Linked DNA regions of Arabidopsis thaliana. The protein of the gene in region 1 binds, or shares a complex with, the protein of each later gene. Each region holds a gene or a part of one and is shown on either strand. Other genes may lie near its edges. The genes, in order: TAFII15, TAF13, TAF7 and TAF4B.

The links.
Region 2: TAFII15 (region 1) and TAF13 share a complex: the UniProt entries of both Arabidopsis thaliana proteins name them as parts of the TFIID complex.
Region 3: TAFII15 (region 1) and TAF7 share a complex: the UniProt entries of both Arabidopsis thaliana proteins name them as parts of the TFIID complex.
Region 4: TAFII15 (region 1) and TAF4B share a complex: the UniProt entries of both Arabidopsis thaliana proteins name them as parts of the TFIID complex.

Annotation. Positions count from the first base shown.
Region 1 is NC_003075.7:15,353,254-15,358,441, forward strand, and holds TAFII15 (TBP-associated factor II 15), read right to left. Parts: upstream 3,179-5,188; 5' UTR 2,938-3,178; intron 2,918-2,937; exon of another isoform or gene 2,551-2,917; intron 2,488-2,550; exon of another isoform or gene 2,471-2,487; 5' UTR 2,452-2,470; coding exon 2,359-2,451; intron 2,263-2,358; coding exon 2,198-2,262; intron 1,797-2,197; coding exon 1,734-1,796; intron 1,549-1,733; coding exon 1,497-1,548; intron 1,403-1,496; coding exon 1,352-1,402; intron 1,051-1,351; coding exon 970-1,050; 3' UTR 794-969; coding exon of another isoform or gene 718-793; 3' UTR 667-717; coding exon of another isoform or gene 586-666; 3' UTR 543-585; downstream 1-542. Other genes in the region: AT4G31715 (uncharacterized protein), read left to right, coding at 406-449, 586-666, 718-793. UniProt on the Arabidopsis thaliana protein: TAFs are components of the transcription factor IID (TFIID) complex that is essential for mediating regulation of RNA polymerase transcription.
Region 2 is NC_003070.9:579,052-582,820, reverse strand, and holds TAF13 (TBP-associated factor 13), read right to left. Parts: upstream 2,197-3,769; 5' UTR 2,076-2,196; intron 1,752-2,075; 5' UTR 1,738-1,751; coding exon 1,635-1,737; intron 1,544-1,634; coding exon 1,506-1,543; intron 1,325-1,505; coding exon 1,265-1,324; intron 1,178-1,264; coding exon 1,103-1,177; intron 1,007-1,102; coding exon 902-1,006; 3' UTR 511-901; downstream 1-510. Other genes in the region: AT1G02670 (P-loop containing nucleoside triphosphate hydrolases superfamily protein), read right to left, coding at 2,522-2,594, 2,691-2,771, 2,854-2,942, 3,022-3,174, 3,296-3,400, 3,509-3,625. UniProt on the Arabidopsis thaliana protein: TAFs are components of the transcription factor IID (TFIID) complex that is essential for mediating regulation of RNA polymerase transcription. May be involved in polycomb repressive complex 2 (PRC2) mediated repression.
Region 3 is NC_003070.9:20,627,476-20,631,581, reverse strand, and holds TAF7 (TBP-associated factor 7), read left to right. Parts: upstream 1-1,889; 5' UTR 1,890-2,091; coding exon 2,092-2,206; intron 2,207-2,580; coding exon 2,581-2,714; intron 2,715-2,811; coding exon 2,812-2,931; intron 2,932-3,077; coding exon 3,078-3,428; 3' UTR 3,429-3,559; downstream 3,560-4,106. Other genes in the region: SCL33 (SC35-like splicing factor 33), read right to left, coding at 463-540, 764-906. UniProt on the Arabidopsis thaliana protein: TAFs are components of the transcription factor IID (TFIID) complex that is essential for mediating regulation of RNA polymerase transcription.
Region 4 is NC_003070.9:9,642,798-9,649,158, forward strand, and holds TAF4B (TBP-associated factor 4B), read right to left. Parts: upstream 4,580-6,361; coding exon 4,538-4,579; intron 4,528-4,537; exon of another isoform or gene 4,419-4,527; coding exon 4,352-4,418; exon of another isoform or gene 4,082-4,351; coding exon 3,849-4,081; intron 3,759-3,848; coding exon 3,657-3,758; intron 3,405-3,656; coding exon 3,344-3,404; intron 3,214-3,343; coding exon 2,507-3,213; intron 2,281-2,506; coding exon 2,156-2,280; intron 2,004-2,155; coding exon 1,916-2,003; intron 1,831-1,915; coding exon 1,692-1,830; intron 1,600-1,691; coding exon 1,544-1,599; intron 1,458-1,543; coding exon 1,401-1,457; intron 1,322-1,400; coding exon 1,199-1,321; intron 1,110-1,198; coding exon 1,059-1,109; coding exon of another isoform or gene 1,044-1,058; exon of another isoform or gene 975-1,043; coding exon 815-974; intron 706-814; coding exon 554-705; downstream 1-553. Other genes in the region: AT1G27710 (Glycine-rich protein family), read left to right, coding at 1-391; STZ (salt tolerance zinc finger), read right to left, coding at 5,505-6,188. UniProt on the Arabidopsis thaliana protein: TAFs are components of the transcription factor IID (TFIID) complex that is essential for mediating regulation of RNA polymerase transcription.

The DNA.
Region 1 (5,188 bases):
AAACCAAGATATTTTAGCTAAGTCATGCGAGAAGAAATTGGACAGAGACTTTACATATTACAGACAAAAAGTCGGCATATAGAATCATTCCAGACAACGTTTATGGTCCTGTATACATATAAGGAGAATGTGCTCAGAAACCACAAGTACCTATGTCATATAAAAAACTTGAAACTTACCTTAACTTTTCAGCCTCAAAACATTTAAAACAAAACCGACTCTGAAAGAAAGACAGAAACAGAGAGAGACAGAGAGAGTGTGTACGAGGTGACACTCGAAACCGGGAAGTAGTGGCTGGAAGAAATGCGGATTGGTCGGAGACTGAAGTGGAGGATTCACCATTTCAAACAATTCAGGAGGAAAAAAACTCAAGAATCTTCAACTTTCTTTGTGATGAAAAAACCAATGTGTTCTTGTCTTCAATGTAGCGTTGTAAAAGCTGACGAAAGGTTACTAGATTTTTCAGATTGTTGTCTTCTTTCATGTATTTCTAGGTAAAGAATATTCGGACATGAGAAAGTGAAAAAACAAAACAGAACAGCTTTTTTCAATTGCTAAATTCCAAAAAGTAACTTTATTATTGAGATGCCGCGGTTACAAAGGGGGATTGTCTAAAGGTATACAACAGAGTGTGGCAATGTTTCAAGTTAGATCAGAAGCACTTAGGTTCATCATTGCTAGATGGAAAATATACTTTGTGGTTTTTCAATCCTACAGTATCCAGTTAATCACAAGGATGGATACTTATCTTATTTTCACGACTTGGAGACTTGCAAGAATGGTGGATAAGTGATGTAGAACCCCAAAAATCACCAGAGAACAAACAACAAACGAATATACATGTAATGTAGTAATTGAGGACTAGCAAGACAAGTGAGTTTTGTTTTTAACTGAAACACAACAGAGAATCAGGGATCTGAGACACATGACCGTCCTTACTAGGCAAAGATTTTGAGGAATTCCTGGTTTCTATTCGTCCCTTGTTGCAGGGTCCATTCCAGTCGAAGGGCTATCAGCAAAATATTCTGGATGCTTCACGTTCACACCATACTGCCAAACCGAGTTTACTCACGAGTTAGCTTCCCACTACTAGTTAAGACGAGACTGTAAAACCTTACCTATCTACCTACACTACTGCAATACACAATATTATAACCACTAACTCTAAAACATGTTTCTAAGCATTTTATGTTGATTCTGTGATACTGAATTAGTTTCATGCCATGTGTATTTAGAGTAATTTGCAGCTTAAGTAAAAAAAAACAAGAGACATCTACATTTTCTTCTCATACATTGGAGGTCTGAGGGACAACAATACCAGAAGCATGAACTTAGAGGAAGAAGCATTTACCTCACGCAAAGCTTTTGAAAGATCTTCCATTGTCAATACCAAACGCTTATCCTGTTAAGGAAACATTAATATTCATGTCATCATCCAAAACATATTTGTTGCAGTCTTGCAGAGGGAAAAAAAACAAAAGGGAGTCAGATGTTACCTTTTGCTGTTTTTTGTCTTTCACAACTGGTGCTGGTCTAGCCTTGCAATGCCTGTATATAATTGACAATTTTTATTATTCAGGAGCTTATATCAATGCTTTTAGCTTCTGGGAAAATCTAGCGTAGACATCTTTTCATCTCATCTACTCAGAATGGGCAGTGTCTTCTCTTTCTCAATTACAAGTCAAATATGAAAAAGGGTATGATAATTCGTTGTGAAGAGAATGAAAACTTACTGAAGGGCGTCACTGGCAACATCTGCAACAAACTTTTGTGTAGCCACAGCAACTAGCCTTATCCTGTCAAACAAGTAAACAAAAAAACAGAATATTGGCAAGAATAGATACAGGAAAAGATTATGACAGGAGTGAAAAACTCAAAAACTAAAATATACCAATATTCAGCACTCAATTTGATAGAAAGAGAAGAATCCCCTCATTATTCTACGCATTCAAACTGAACTCTGAAGTTTACATTCAAATTGCCAATCTTTTTCAGTGCTAGTCCAACATAGACTTCTTTATCATACCATTTTACAGGAATGTTAAACAGGGCAAAACCTTAATCCAAAATGATTTAAACCAAGCCATTGATCTAACTACTGGTCACCCATTCTAAGACCCAACAATGATTCCATTCAATATCAACTTATCTGCTCTTTCATTGTAAGTATCAGATATAACTTGTCGGAAATACCTACAATCGTACGTCGGGGCACTGAAATCCACTCTTAGCCAAGTAGTGCTCCACTAAATCATCAGGAATCTGAAAGAAAAATAAAAATCCAGAACTCAATCAATACCCAAATTTCAGTCATGTAGAGCCGAGAAAAAGTTGTAACTAGTACAAAGGAAAGTATACAGTAGGAGTATAATCCATCAGAGAAGCAAGGAACTCTGTAAGAGCAGCATCATCTTCATGCTTTGCCTCACCAGATTGTTGGCCGTGATTCATCTCTCCCACCACCAGAGTACTGAAGCGAAGCAACAACTGTAAGTAAAGAAAGGTTTTCAAAATCAAACATTAATAAAGAACCTCTGAACTAGTATCTACCTCAAATTAGAAACTTGTACGAAACCTAAGAAAGAATGTCATGACTCATGACACAATTATACCAAAATAAGTTTTACGAGAATTTTGACTACTGAAACTTTCCAGCTCAATTTACTAATTCTCTGTTCCAGATTTGTCTTCTCGTATGACATTATTGTTTCTAAGTAACGAACTATTCCTGATTTGTGTTGCAAAAGACCACACCAAGTTTTGAATTGAACGACGTGAAGTAAACTAAGAGGGCTCTGATTCATCAAGAAACAGCATTCATGAGCAAAATTCGATACCACCCAAGAGAAAATTCAACCGAAAAAAAGACAAAATTGAGCTGAAATTGAAACCAGAGACATAGAGGAAAAATTCAATAAAGTAAGCGATAATGCGAACCTAAACGAAGCAGCAACGGAAGAGAATTGAGCTGAGACGAGGCAAATCAATGGTAAAGAAGAGAAGTTTCGACGGATTTCGGGCGGGTAGAAGAAAGGATCGGAGATCGACTAGTGAGTCTCCGTTGAAACCCTAATCCTCCGACTGGTCCAACTCAGAGCCATCTCCGCCGGTCAGATTTTTAAGAGTTGAGAAAGAATCGTTAGATAGACTAATGGGCCTATTGATTTAAACTATGGCCCAAACTTAAGGAAGTATTCTTCACATATGGCCCAAATTTAGGTTTTTTTTTTTCCTTTTTCACAATCCATTTTTTATTCTCTTCCCATAAAATCAATATTTGAGTTTAGTGTATCTAAGAATATCGAAACGAAATTGTCAATCAATAAAATCTCAAAAATGTAACTTTAGTGTATAGTGTTGTACAATCTGCTGTATAGTGAGCTTTAATTTGATGGGAGACAAAGAATATGACAATGAAAGCACTAACTCCATCTAGACGGAATATTTAATGACCAACAAAAGCAGTTTTTGTTTTTCTCATTTGTCAACTCATAGTCATTAGAAAAAGACTTAAGGGTAGTTTTATATATTCTACGAGAAGCAGGTGGTAAATTCAGTGAAGAAGGATTGGACTAATTCTCTCCATAAAAACATAAAAGAGAGATATGTATATGATGATACTTTATTTCACGGGATTCCATTTGTTTGTTTGTTTTTGGTTAATGGTGGATTCCATTTGTAGGTAAATTAATGGATAAATACCAGATAAATAAATCCATATTTTCTCAAATATGCTTCTTAGACGCTACGTATTATGTATTTACATTTAAATCATTTTCCAAAAGCTTTTTTTTTTTTGTATAAAACCAAAATAAGAGACAGTTTATTCAAGAAGCTAGTTTACCTAGTTATATCAAAGGGGCCAATCAGAATCTAATGTAAACTATATCCAAGTCTCATTGTCATGGAAAAAGGTTTGATTTAATTTGACGATTTTTAAAAAACGGTTGTTCAATCGCGGCATAGGAATATTTTTGGCTATAGGCTAGGACAAGCTATATGGATTGATTTGAACTTTCTCTTTAATTCTTTTCATCAAATTATGGAATATTATATTAAAACCTAGATATTTTAAAGAAAAAGAAAAATTGTATGCAAAAATTTAATTTACTTTTGGAATACGGATTCTAAATTTTTTTGTTGTTTAAAATAGTAAAGAAAAATAAAATATATCAATGAAATCAGGAAGAGGCAAAACATGGTGGCCAATCAAATCGGTTTACTTCAGGCGATCGACGAGCATTTCTAACGAAGCAATGTTCATGTGATCTCAATGGAATATCGACTGTTGTCAATGTGATCGTAACCATACTTTTAAGTTCTGCACTGTATTCTAATTTCTACACAACTATGTTATCTCAATTTTTAACTACTTCCTTCATTATTTACCTCCAGCAAGTGAAAATTAAAAGACCGATAGACAAACAAAAATACATAATCTAGTAAAACAAGTACTAAAAATCTAACATGGTAGAAGAGAAATTGTGTATGTAGGTTCTTTGCAAATAAATCGTGTGTATACTGTATAGACTGATAGACTATTCCTTGTTTGGGGAAAAATGGCTATACACTTATAATATTTTAGAAGTGTCACAAAATAGAAAACTATTTTAAAAAGTAACTTTCTTGGATCGAAAAAATAATAATATGATATATGGTAGGGAAATTTTTACTAATTTTATTAAATTTAATAGGAAGTATCATAAGCACCCATATAGATATGCATAAGTTTGAAACAGAAAATTTGTAGGTACGGTTAGTCGGCTATAAGAGTGGCTTCAATTTGCTTGATGGATTTTTTGTTTTGATAAAATGGTTTGTAGATGGACTTTATTAATTTCAAACATACATTACACTAGTTAAGATAACACCACTTAATCAAGTAATATTTGTATAATTGTAGTTAACTGAAAGTCGTGACTCATGTGTTGTTGTAGGGTTGATTACTACTTTGGCTTTAGATTTCCTCTTTTTTAATCGTACTTTAGAAAATTTGTGGTGCATAATTAAGAAAATTTGTAGTGCATAGTTCCTTATCTAGAAGAAGAGAAGTTTGTACGTCACCAAACACCCCCCAAAAACTCAAGTTGCGAATATGTTCGTTTGCTTAATTAAATATATGTTTTCTCCCATCCAATTTAATATCATATTTTTGTCGCTAATCTTCAATTAACTAGATTACTTATGA
Region 2 (3,769 bases), on another chromosome or scaffold:
TATAACATTCATCTTCTTCCTCATCAATATCATCATCATATAAGGACATGGCTGATCCATATCCCGAGATTCCTGATGATGATGAAGATGAAGCCGCCGTGAAAACCTCCATAGTCTCTGATAAACGACCCTCGGAATCATCATCATCTTCATTATCATTATCACCATCGTCTCCTCCCATTTCTGTCGCTGGCAGAGGAGGAGGAGCCGGAGGGAGAACAATTGTGTTAGTAAAAGTTGACGATGGCATTATCGTAATTTCGAAACGGAGTTTACGTACGGACTTAACGACTCGCCGCCAGAACCTGGTGTTGAAGGGTTTTCTCCCCGGCGGCGACGAAGCATGAACATGACGACGGAGAACATGTGCATCCCACGTGATGACTTTTTCTTCTTCATGCTCGTGTTGTTTATTTGCTCTATCTCTAATTGATCACAATGATTTTCTTTAGTTGGTAATTGATCACCATTCTTATTTATTGTTTCCATGGTAAAATAATGAATCAAAATATCAGAAAGATGACGAAAAATTTAGAGAAAAACAAAAGTCTTATAATGATGACTAATTTTATAATTATTGCGGTAATTAATTTAATGAAAGAAACAAAAATCGGGTGGTTATTCTAAATTTTTAGGGTTTCGAAATTCCTGACTCAAGAAAAATTAAAGGTCGTCCGTAGATATATACGGGATGCTAGATAATGGGCTTTCTTCTAATGGGCCTACATTTAATATGAGTCGGCCTTGTGCAAGATTTTTTTTCACCTTTTTTAAGTCAACACACTTTTTTTTTGCTACTGTGCTTCGAATTCTGATTACAACCTAAAACGCTGTCCCTAGTCCGGCATCCATGAGGTTCCTCTTACCTAGCATTTGTTCCTCCCGTTGAGGAAAAGCAAGATCAATCAACGAGTTCCTTTTCGTCGACATCAAAAGCTTTGCGTGCTTGTTTCAGCTCTTCCTGCATCGCCAACAGTTCTCTACAGCGGTTCAGTTTTGGCAAATCCTGCATAAATCAAAGACGCCAAAGTTTCGGATATAGAATACAAAACCATAAACCATCTCAATCATCGATTGTGTACTTTTTAAAAAGAATTTTTACCTTGCGGATAAGATACAAGAAATCATCAACTAGAAGTCTTCCTCGCTTTGAACCAATTTCTTGAGCTTTATGTGTCTGCCATTGAAACATCACTTGTTAGCTAATATCTCTCCGCTTGTAATGTAAAACATGAATCATTCACAAAAAGAAAAAGCTCACTACCAAATCTGTGACGTATTCCACAACAATGTCTTCTACAAGCGCCACAGACTCTGGAAGAGGCTAAATACAGAGGAGTTTTGGATCAGTTTCAGGTGGTAAAACACTAAAAGATGTTACACGACCAAGAACCCTTTAAAGCAAAGATTCTCTACCTAATTCGTTACTTGTATTGGAATGAAACTATATCTACAAATACGGTTCATATGGCAACAAAATAGTAATGAAGAGGATAGCGGCTTACGTTTTGCTCGTCGCCAAATCCATACATCATATGCTGCACTGAAAAATCAACAAAAGCACCAAAACCATTGTTACCAGAAGAATCACAAAATGAAGAATACAAAAATCTGGTTTTAACTAAAGACTTTACATTCTTTTTGAAAGAGAGTTTTGCGCTTTTCCTGTGGCTGAGAAGTTCCCGCAGCTTTCGATTTAGACGATGATGACGCCGCCGCTGCTGGTGTGTTACTCATCTCTTCTTCTTCTTCTGATAATCAAAATCCAGGAGAGCAAAATAATAGAAAAATAAGTGAAATTCCTCTACCGACAAAATCCAATTGAGTCAAATACTAACCCTAGGTGAAAATTTTCAAAAAAGAAAAAACAGTGTAATCTCAACTAGAAAATGAAATTCCGAGCCTATATTCTAGATTTCTACCGCAATCAAAACCAGAGAGCTACCGGAAAGTTGTATTCCGGTACAGTACAACAACCAACGGAGTTAAATCGAATAAGGTTCTTTATCCAAATATTTGTCGTCATGGAAAAGGAATGAAAATTGAAAAGGGAATAGTGAGAGCAGAGAGCTCACCGTAGATTGATCGACGGGAGTAGCAGAGGTGGTCGTTGCAAAATCGGCGATGAAGATGATGAGAACGAAGAAACGGGGACTTGTTCACTGATCTCTCTCTCTCTCGTAGAAGAAGCACATTGCATTACATACGAAGTAATTGGGCTTAATAAATAGGCCCATTTATATTAAACCAGCCCATAATCTAAACCAGAAACCCGTACACTAGTCGACCGACATTGTAACTAAGTTCTCACGGTATGGCTCAAACCGGCCATGGCCTCATGCTCAATATTCTTCGGGAGAAGGAAAAGTTTGTGATCCGATTCATATACAATCTATCCGGTGCTCATCATATTACACAAGTATGTATCAAATCTTTTAGCTTGAGCCTAATTTTGTCCTGTCAAGACTCTTTTTTCTATCTATACAAATTTTCTATCATGTTCTTCATCTACAAGATTTGGTTATGCGAACAGGGACTTGATATCGTCTTCTCCCAGCTTTTGTACAACGGCCTCTTCAGAGTCACCTAACGTACTGTAACAAAGCAAATATGTCTTCATATAGGCTTCATACAGTTGACAATAAGAAACCAGCAAAGTTGAGAGAAGCGTATCGTTTAAAATAAGAAACCTTTCAAACAAATCTTCCTTCTTCTTTTGAAGCGTTAGTATCTTTTCCTCTACTGTTTTCTCCATTATGAATCTTACAACCCTGTCACACAACCAAATGTTTCTTCTTTCTTCCCCCACCAAAACAACATACAGTATATTGAAGGACAACTCAAAAATATAACCTGACAGGCTTGCACTGTCCGATCCTATGTATTCTGTCCTGTGCTTGCCTCTCAACCGCTGGGTTCCACCACGGGTCCATCATGAACACCTATACAATCAAACACCCGAATGTCAGTGAATAAAACATGTTCTAGGAGCAACTGTTTTATAAGTTGTACACTTCTTACATGCGAAGCGGCTGTTAGATTTAGAGCAACCCCTCCAGCTTGCAAGCTCATTAATAAAACTCTGCAATCTGGCTCTTCTTTAAAATTTTTGAGTGCAGCATCTTTAGCTGCCTTGGACATGCTTCCCACCAGTTGAACACAGCTAACCCCAGACTGCGTTGTACAAAATGAGTCAATCATTTTTATTCAATGTCTCATTATGATTAAAGAGAATGTTAAAGGAGCACAGATATAGTAGTAGTAGCATTTTGTAGTTGGTTGCGCTTGAAATTACCTTCCCCAAGGCGTAACTTATCAGGTCCAAGAATGATGTGAACTGGCTGAATACTATTGCTTTGGCAGACCAATCTCTTTCAACCATGAACCTGATTTCTTCTCTCTGCATACAAATTTTTTTTATCACCAAATGGTTAGATAAAGCCTCCAATCTCCAAAGAAACTTTAAGCGTGGGAGAGACAGAAGCTGTAGATCTCAAAGGGCACATACCAAAGCCTCAATCTTTGTACTTGTTTTAAAATCATCGAGGTTTATCCGATTTAAAATGCTAGAGGCTCTAAATCCTTTAAGCTTTGTCTTGCTTGCCTGATGTTCACTAGAAGTCACCTTCAAAGTAAGAGAACCAAAGACATATTAACCGAACAAGTTAAGTCCAACATTAGTCATCCGATGATTCTTTAAGAAAGTGTAAAATGGTGGCAGCTATTTCCAGAAGATACAGTTACTGAGAAACAAGAGTCGAGATAGTAT
Region 3 (4,106 bases), on another chromosome or scaffold:
GTCTTCAATTCTTTAGATTCACTGCTAAACCTCAACAACTTCAATTAACTCACTCATAGTGTGTTCAGACATGGAACATATCATCATGTATCCTTTTCCTTAAGCGACTAAAAACTATGAGGTCTCACCAGGTACTAAATTCTAAACGACTAATCCACCTAACGACACCGAAAACTAGTGGTTTAAGACCACAAGTATGCTCACTGTCTATTGTCATGTCACAGAAAATTACTATCTGAAAAATATGGAGCCTAAATTTAATTTATGAAATCAGTTTTTAAGAAGATTCTCATAAGGCCCTAGTATCCATGAGAAGACACAAAGAGATGACCGAAAGAAAAAGGAAAGGCAGATAAACGTAGTAAACAAATCAAGAAAGAAGATGTGAAAATAGGGATATTTTCTAATCAGAACATAAGTAAAAATCAAGTGTTGGTTGTCCTATTTACAAAACATGCTCACCCGGTATAATAATCCCTTGGCAGGTAAATGTCCTTGACAGGACCAAACTGCTCAAACGACTTCCTGAGATCTTCTTGCCTGAAGAAAAGGACAAGGAGTAAGAAGAGAATTACAATTTGCTAAAAGCCAAGAAATGAAGATACATTGACGTCAACTTTTTGAAAACCTTTACAGTAAAGATAAGAGAACATCATGCCAAAATATGCTAAGAGGTGTCAAGTCTTCTTGCTTAAGAGGTGTGCAAACAATAACATCATCCACAATGGCTGAAGAAAATAATAGAGAAGTCAAAAGTATGTACCTGCAATCATGGCGTAGATTGCGAACCAAAAGACTGGTCGGGAGGTCCCTGCTACGACCTCCATATCGGCCTCTAGGGCTTGGGCTTCGACCCCTCCTCCCATAACCCCTAGGTGGTGACGGAGTGTAGCTCCTTCCCCTCATTGAGTCAAGCTTCAATCTCTCTATCAGTCAGTCAACACAAACTAGATTAGAAAATACACCAAAAGAGGTTGGATATTTAAGAGAGAAGAGACCACAAACACAAGAGCTATAACACCAGCGTCTAAGAGAACTTTAAAGAAGCAATCAATCTAGAAAGATCATATTTTCTAATTGAATAGTAAATTATATCAAAATAAGATCACATGCAATTCAGGTAGAGATCGAATCAGCTCAATTTCAAAAGATAGGAGCTAAGAAACGTTATATGTGAATAGGCACAAAAGATCACAACTTTCGTCAAACTTACTTAAGATGAACGATTCAATCCTTTATATCGATGTATAGACATAATAATTGCCTGATCTACAGTTTTTTCCGTCACGGGATCTTTCACCGGACTCAAAAAGTTGTACGGGCAACGAAGTTGTTTACAATTGAAGGAATCGAAGTCGGAAAAGCCAAGTTTATTCGACAGAGAAAGAAGAAGATACGGGTATATACGGTTGGGAAGAAGAGCAAAATATCAGGGATAAGACTTACCGGTGAACGAATCTCGGTGGTGAGGAACGACGGAGAAGTGATGCTGCAAGAATTGGAGAAGATTGATCAATGAACGACTTATTTATTAGGGTTTCTTTATATTATTTACGTTTTACATTTAACCCCCTCAAAATTATTTTAAAGTATTAAAATCCCCTTAAAGTTTTCTATTTGATAGATGCTCCATTCCAATTTCTGGTAATTAAATTATCTTCCTTTTTATTATCATTATACATTTATACTTAGTGAGATCAATTATCTAAGAGGAACTAAAAATGTAAAATTCAATAGAATTAAATAGCAAATTGGTGATTTTTCACCAATTGTTGGGTTCTGTTTGTACCTTTTATAATTATTTTGGTCAAAACATAAATCTTGAAACCTTTAGGGAGGGAAATAAAATAATAAATTGTTAAAAGGATACTTCTAGAAGGTTTATCTTATAATGTCTCTCTCTCTCTCTCTCTCTCTCTCTCTCTCTAACATAACAAAGAATTCGTGTTTCAGTTCAATAGATTCTCGTCTCTTTTCGACTTACGACATCAACAGACCGAAGTATACGTATTCGATACGATCTGCGTTCGCGAATTCACGTTTCTGGATTGATTAAGAAGAAGAATTCAAGTCAAGCTGTTGGTATCTACAATGGAAGAACAGTTCATACTTAGGGTTCCACCGTCTGTTTCAGAACGAATTGATCGGCTTTTAAGCGAGGATGCTTCTACTTCCGACGAAATCCCTTTGGATTTGTTTTTTTCAGGTACCAATTTTTAAAGGGTTTCTCTCTTTTTTGGCACATTACATCTGGGTTAAAGTTTCATCCTTTTTCTTAAATTTATGTCCTTTAGTCGTCAATCAATGAAATTAGTGTCTGGATCGTTTCGGGGATTGCTCCTTGTGTCACGTGATGAGTTCTTGAATGTTGGTTTGCCCAAAAGACATTCTTGAATCTGATTAAGGATCAAAGCTTGTGATTTGTGTCTCCTGGATCAGCTTAATGTTGTGAATTGTCTGTTTTGTCAAAGAAGCCAAAAGACATTCTTGTTGCATCATTATAGTTTGTCTAGAAATCCATTTGCATATTGTCTCTGGAGCAAACTTGATACGTAATGTTTGTGTGAACTGAATTTGCAGAGGATGGGAGAAACGGGACGTTTATGATTGGAAACGACGAGTTCCCGGCTTCTCTGCTTGATCTCCCTGCAGTTGTTGAGTCTTTTAAAACTTATGATGATTGTGCATTAGTCAAAACTGCTGATATTGGGCAGGTAAAATCAAGTTACTTGATTCATCTTTTACTTATATGCGTTAACTTCTGTAATTTTGGACTAAAACTCAATATGGATGCTTTGATTTGGCACACAGATGATCATGGTTAGGGAGCCTGGTGATCCTGCGCCTAATACAGTTGAATACAGACATGGTCTAACTCCTCCAATGAAGGATGCTCGAAAGAGGAGATTTCGTCGAGAGCCTGACCTTAATGTAATTTTCATTTGTTGTTATCTATCCATCAACATTGTTTCACTAATACTTGTGATTATGATTGAAAGTCTGTAGTGAAACGTATCTTTTGGAACTCCAAAGTTCTTTCTATTAAGTTAACATATTGATTTGCCAAAATGTTGCAGCCGGAGCTTGTACAGCGGGTTGAGAGAGACTTGTTGAATATATTGAGTGGCGGAACGGTAGAAAATGTAAGCTTTTCTTTCTATTTTCGACACATGATGTGTCTATATTTGCTCCTTGGATTTAGTAACTTCATTTATTTGAACTTTTTTTGGTGTAGGTACATGAGCAAGAGGAACCAGCTACGAACGAGAATGCTAGTAATGCAAGTAAGAAAGTATCTTCTTCTTCACCTACACCTGTTGAAAAGCCTGAAGCTCCTGAGACAGGCACTAGTAATCCAACAGGAGTTGAACCGGAGAGAAGTGAATCAGAAGATTCTGATGATTCAATGTGAGTTTATTATTATATAAAGAGATTTTTCTTACGAAAGCTTAGAGTTTGCGCAAGTCCTGTCTTAGAAAATCATGGATAATTATGTCCCCATGATTTGATGATGTCTTGTTCGACCTTTTTCAATGGAAAAGTTGTTTTGCGTTCAAACTACACCAAAGATTCTGTTTATTCTAGTTCAATTTCGGTTATTTCTTGAAGACAGTTTCAGGAATGAACCAAAGATTGATAGTAAAAGAAAAACCTTAGACTTAAAGAACAAGAACCAAGACATTGTTGATGCTAAACCTATCAAAAGCTGGAATCTAATCCAAACACCAACCATCGCCTTCATTAAACTTTAAGGTTTTTCTTCCGGGTCATTTTCTACAATGCCAAGAATAAGAAAAGAAAATTGACACTCTGCCTAGAAATTGAGATTCTAATTATCGGTCCCTCCATTTTCTATCCTGAATAGTGAATACGTGCAACCATGTCTACCTTTCATTACATACACAATTATGAATTATGTCATTTTTCAAACAAAACAACCCGAAGCTAAAACAAATGTGTAGAGCCTCGTAAGTAGTTGCCGTCACGATCTTCCTCTTCATCTTCTTCGTGTTCTTTCTATAAATTCTTTTTAGTCTTTGTATCAAGAAGCTTCCACAGCTTTTATAAACACTCATTGAGAAGAAAGAAAAACGTCAAGGGATTAG
Region 4 (6,361 bases), on another chromosome or scaffold:
ACACTCCAGTGAGATTGGAAAGAGTATCCGACACGTAACCGGATTTAAGGGTGAACTCACAGCTGGTGGCTACGGCGGTGGAGGCCCGGGATATGGTGGTGGTGGATACGGTCCAGGTGGCGGCGGTGGTGGTGTTGTAATCGGTGGTGGATTTGGTGGAGGTGCCGGGTATGGTTCAGGTGGTGGTTTGGGTTGGGATGGAGGCAACGGAGGTGGTGGTCCAGGATACGGGTCAGGTGGAGGAGGTATTGGTGGTGGAGGAGGTATTGGTGGTGGAGTCATCATTGGCGGTGGTGGTGGAGGATGCGGAGGTTCATGCAGCGGAGGCGGTGGTGGTGGAGGAGGATATGGACACGGCGGAGTCAGCACGAAGGGATCAGGCAAAAACTAGAAAAAACATGCAGCTTGCTTTAGGTAGTGAAAGGAAGAAGAAATAAGGATGTACTTTAGCATCTTGATCATGTTTAGGAGTTTGTAATGGCATTAGTTTTAATGGAATAAGAACCTTTCTACAAAAAAAAATAAAGAATTGGTCCTATGTCTTTTCTTGGTTTCAAACATCCGAGCAGATTCTATTGTATACGCGATACAATAGCGTCGATCTTGACATCTGAGGCTCCTTTTCCACCACAGCGATCACATCCTTCACAGAGATTGACCGGACTACTTTTGGTAAACCTTGGTTCTTCCCAAATTGTGTACCACCTACATAAAGTTCGAATATGCAATTAGGAGCACGAAACACAAGAATAACCAGCAACAGAACTGAGAGATTTACTCTTTCAGATCATAGAAACGGGATTACCAATCTTACCAGAAAGTTTCTTGGAGTTTCTTCCTGGCCCTGGAGAAGATCTCTGACGTGCTTCAGCCATAAGTTTCCATTTTGAAAACCTATCATCTCCTCCAACGGCTGCACGAACAGCAACATTTGCAGCCTTGGCTCTCTCTTTATCTTCGTCCTTCTTATTTGCCTGACTTGTGATCAATAAACCTCTTTCAGTGTACGTATGTGTATATCTCCAAAGGTTTAGGTAGTTGGCTCAAGTTCTAAATACCTTCACTTCGTTTGAACGTTGGTCTTCTTTTTCAGTATCATTTTCTTTGTTCTACATCAATGAATATACAAAAAAAAAAAACTAGACATTACTACTGATAACTAAGACAAATAGATATTAAGCTCAGGACAAACCATTACCTTTTCTTCTCCAGAATGTTTCTTTTCCCATTCCTCTTTCACCTTCTGATTCATTTCATTAATTTCTTTCCGGATATCAGATGTGATAAAAGTCCGATTTCTACACTTCTCTGCATCAGTCCGCTGCAAAAGCTCTTGTAACTTCAGAAAGATTTAGGTACAACAAGATCTAAGGAGGCATGAGAAGAGAAAGTAGACTGACCTGCTTTGATATTCGTATTATATTAAACAGTAGTCCTCGCATCCTCTCCTCCACACACTGAATGCGCAAAGCCATGAGAAAAACGAAAACAAAAACAGGAAATTGAAGGCTAATAATTCCAAGAAAAGGTGTTAACATCTCACCAGAGACAAGCACCGCTCTACATCATGGTCTATATGCTTTAAACCACTTTTTCCCACTGTCATATATGAAAGCATACATAAACTTCTTCTCCAAGTGATTCCAAGTAAGGACCAAAGAAGCAGCTAAGATACGAGTTGAAACACAAACTAATTTCTGTCAGCTTTCTCTGCAGTGGAATTTTCTGCAAAAGCGTTCTTTCTTCCTCTCCATGCACAAGTCTTCGATATGCTTTAGAAACACGATCGTTCTTTTTAGGACCAGAATCTAATAATTGTTTTTCCTCTTCCTAGAACAGATGCAGAAAGTAATTTGGTTTATTGTTTCTCTATATCCAGGTTCAAAATGAGAAGTGTAGCAACTCGTAAACATACCCTGAGATTGATGCCACTGACTGCAGTGACATCATTAAACTTTTCAATACTTTCATCTGAAGAAGTCCCACATATTTTTTGCTTCTTTCTGTATATTAAAAAATACATAAGACTTCAATTTAGCAATTCTAAATTGTTAGTAAGGTAAAAAGGATATTATCAGAAAAGCAAAGAAAAAAGGAAGAGTAATTTATGGACGCTGTAAGTAGTTCATCTTTCACAAACCAGCCAGCTCATTACCTTGATGGTGGCAGCGAAGAACCTAGTGCCTCAAGAGGTTTCTTCTGACCAACAGAAGGCATTTTGGGTGTCACCGTAACATTAGCAATCTTGGGAATGGTCTCAGATGGGGCAGGCATATTAACCTGAAGTGTACACAAATAATTTTCACGTAAGATAGATAGTCCATTTACTCTTCACAACCAAAGTTCGAAGCCAGTACAAGGAGAAATAGAAGCCAGGGTGGTCCAAAATATAAGCAAAACGAAACCAAATGCAACATCGGTTGAAGAGAAATGGTCCCCCTATGAGCTTAAAGAGAAGATCAACCAAATTGAAATCTGTCTTTTGAAAGTATAATTTATAAGTTACCATCGTGCTAGAGTCCAGCTGTGTTGTCATTGAAGGAAAAACAGAGCTGGCAGAAGTGGTTGATGTGAATAAACCCATTTTAGAAGACTGCTTCTCCAAGTCATCATTTGAACTAATTGGAATAGCATTCTTCTGTTTCAGTGGAACATTAGTCACGCCTTGCTGCACCAAATAACGAGGTTTATGTGCCTGTTCAAAACTTTGATCAATCAATTTATGCTCCACATGGATCACTGATGAAGAAGGTCCCACTGTATGGTCCTTGGTGACTGATCCTTGCCAAGGAGCAGAATATAGAGGAAAGGATGAGTTCTTTGGGAAGTCGGATATAGGACCATCCTGAACCCTACTTGGACCATTTACAAAAGTTGGCCTCTCAAACTTGGGTACTGTCGTCATGTTTATTGTAGACTTGGTTGGTCCTCCAACACTGGCTATTCCCACATTCTGATTGTTTTCCCTATGCTGGAAATCAGGGAGCTTTGCTCTCGATGATGAACCAGGAGAAGTGACATTTGTCCCTGGGTATGGATTAAGACTTCCAGATTTGGTATCCATATGAAAAGAACTTGATGGAAGCTGCATGTGTTGCTCGGGATGCTTATTTAATCCCTGCACAGTAGTTGAACTGTTTAAGGTGCCTGAAGTTGTAGAAGACAGTTGGTTAACATGAACTTCACGAGGATCAGATTCTTGAGCAGTGAATTCTGCAGTTAATGATTGTATCTGGGATTAGTTTTGTATGCTACAAGGAAATCATAAGATAAGATCTACCAGAAAGTTAAGATGATCTATGATAATTGCAAAAGTAAATGGCATCAACTAAATAAGTTATACCAGCAGATTTAGACACTTTGTCATGGTTTGAGCGTCCAGGTACTTTGATCCCCATATTTCCCTGGTTACACATACAGTTCATTCTGAAACCAGTAAGCCACAATTCCAAGACAAGAAGTATTCAGCTTATACTATTAAAGTGAGAATTCTTTATGTTATTTCCTTTTTAATAAGGTTCAGAAGTGAGATTTCTTTCTCAGCACATGTTCATATACAGAGAAGGAAGCATATAAAACAAGAAACTCTCTTGGAGGCTGCTAAATGAAAATCATTAAAGTACTTATAAATGCTAAGAAAATGGAAAGGGTAATACCGGTTTTAACTGAGGCAGTTGGCTAATTACCGATCTGATTATCTGATCACCTACAAGATCTCTCAGTTGTCGCATGAACTCTTCCATTGTAAGTTCTTTTCTCTGCAATCAAGTATGAAAAGAAACGTAATGTATTAAGAAACTTCGATCAGAGTGCCAATTCATTCATGGATGTAAACTGTAAAGCCACACCTTGAGTTTATAATGCAGGTTAAGACAATGCGTCTTTTTGCCGGGTTGGTGGTCTACCACGGTACGAAGCAAATCAGTAACTCGTGCTAATCTAAGATTATGATTCACAGGGTCAACAGTCTTTTCCACCCAAGGAGTCTCTTTGCTACTCATCTTCTGCAGTTTCATATACCGAGGTTGCGGTTTTTCTGATTCATTACCAGTAGTATTGTTTATAGACTTCAAGTTACTTCCTTGGGGCACATGAGTTCAAGCACCAAAATCAATTATGAGTATGCTCTAATATTTTTCTATGACTAACCGTCACTAAAGCATCATCAAGAACTAACAATCTAATTGCATCCATCAACATTCAACAGTTAACATCAAGTGAAACATGAAGATACATGACAAACCACAAAAATACGACTCGTGAACCTAAATCACTAAAGAAATCTAAAGGCATTTCCCTGTTTTGATACATTCCACAGTTTCGCATATGAATTTTAGGGTCCAAAACGAACCTTCAATATCTCGAATCAGAGAGTCCTGAAACATTTGCAAGTCATCTTCCGAATGCTTAGAGTCAACCTAACGACACGATTAGCGGGAATCGACATTTAGGAGCTTCGTCCACAGAACAAGATAGCGCGTGGATTTTCGCAGACAGTACGGAAATGAAAATGAGAGTGGGAAATTCGAAACCTAACCTCTTCGTCTTCTTCGAGGAGCTTGACAATGGAGAGATCCATGGAGGAATCTCGCGGTACCAAACGTCAATAGCTCAAAACGAAGAGGGAATTTTCAAGGAAACGATTTGTTGTATCCAATAAGATTCCAAATTCCGCAAGTTTTTATATAAAGGGAGATTCTGCGAGAACACCGTGTCGTTTTTTCTTTTTGATAAAACACTGCGCGCCGTTCTGTTGATCTTCTTTTCGGTAGTTGTTTCTTTTGGATAAAACACTGCGCGCCGTTCTGTTCTTCTTTTCGGTAACTGGGCTTGTTCTTGTATATCAAAATTTATTTTTCTTGAATATAATGTTGGAGTTCTTAAACAGTTATTCATATTAGCATCAGACTTTTGCAAAAAAAAATTAATTAACTTTTAGATGAATTTTGATACACGTTTATGACCATTGAGTTTTGGACTTCCCGTAGATAATTCACCAAATTAAAGAAGGGATTATCTACGTTAATTAAACAGTGCTACTAAAGAAAACAAACGACCCGTCAAGAAAGGCTTTTTTCAATTGAAAGTTACGGTATTCTTTTGGTAAAAGAAAAATGAAAGTTGAGTTTTCTTTGGCAGTCTTCCGTAAGATATCACAACTCTTTTTATTTGCTTAGAGCTTTCCAAAATATAAGAAAGAACAATATGTGGATGGTAGTAGAAACTAGAACGTTCTTGATTATGCTTAATTGTGTTATAAATTTTTTGAAAAAAACAGAACCAAAAACAGAGTTGTAGTGGTGTCACTTTATGCTTATTCAGATAAAAAAAAGACTCAACGCGTTTGTAAAATATGTGGTAAAGAATCGGTTTAATAATTTTTAAAATGAAAGAACAAGAAGAATTGGAATCAGTCAAAGTCCAATTTGGTATGTACAGTCAACAAATTCCTACACAACTCTCAACAGTATACAAACGAAATCTTATCGTCTAAGTAAATTTCCTTAAAGTTGAAGTTTGACCGGAAAGTCAAACCGAGGCTTCTTCGCCGGCATAGGGCTCATGACTTCGTCGTCTCCGTTGACCATCGAGAATTCAGGGATCGGAGGGATGTTGAGGTCAAACCCACGGTGGCTACTGCTAACGTGGCTAGTGGACCCCGCACCTTCGGAGTTGGACACGCTACTAGTGTTGATGTTGTTGTTTCCTTCGTAGTGGCACCGCTTGTGTCCGCCGAGAGCTTGACCGGAAGGAAAAGACTTGTTACAGATGGTGCAAACGTGTGATTTCCCACTTCCAGTAGTCACGGCGGATGTGGTTGTCGCCGACGAGGTTGAATGATCATCTCCTCCGCCGGAGAGAGTCTGTGATAAGTTCTTACGGTGGCTTGCCTTGTGACCACCGAGAGCTTGGTAAGAAGAGAACGTCTTGTCGCAGACGCTACACTTGTAGCTCAACTTCTCCACCGCCGGAGGAGGAGGAGGCTGACGGTTGTCGCGAGCGAGAAGCATGAGGCAAAAAGCTAGATACTCTTCCTCAGTGAGGTTTTGGTGGTGGAAATCGGATCTTGATCTCTTAGATCGCTTACCCTTTGTCCAGTGCTCGACTCCATGGAAGACTGAAGAATCTTCGAACAAAGGAGGAATCGGAGAAGCTAATCTTGGTGATGTAAGAGCCTCGAGCGCCATTAAGTTAAAGATTCTGAGGATTTCTTGTCTCTCGAGTTTTAGTTTGAAGGTTGCTTGTGAATTGCAGTGAAGAAATTGTTTAATTGCTGAAGAAGAAGTAATGAAAGTGTGTGTAAATATATAGTAGTAGGTGGAGTGTGGAGAAGGAAGTTGCGTGACAAGTGGTAGGAAAG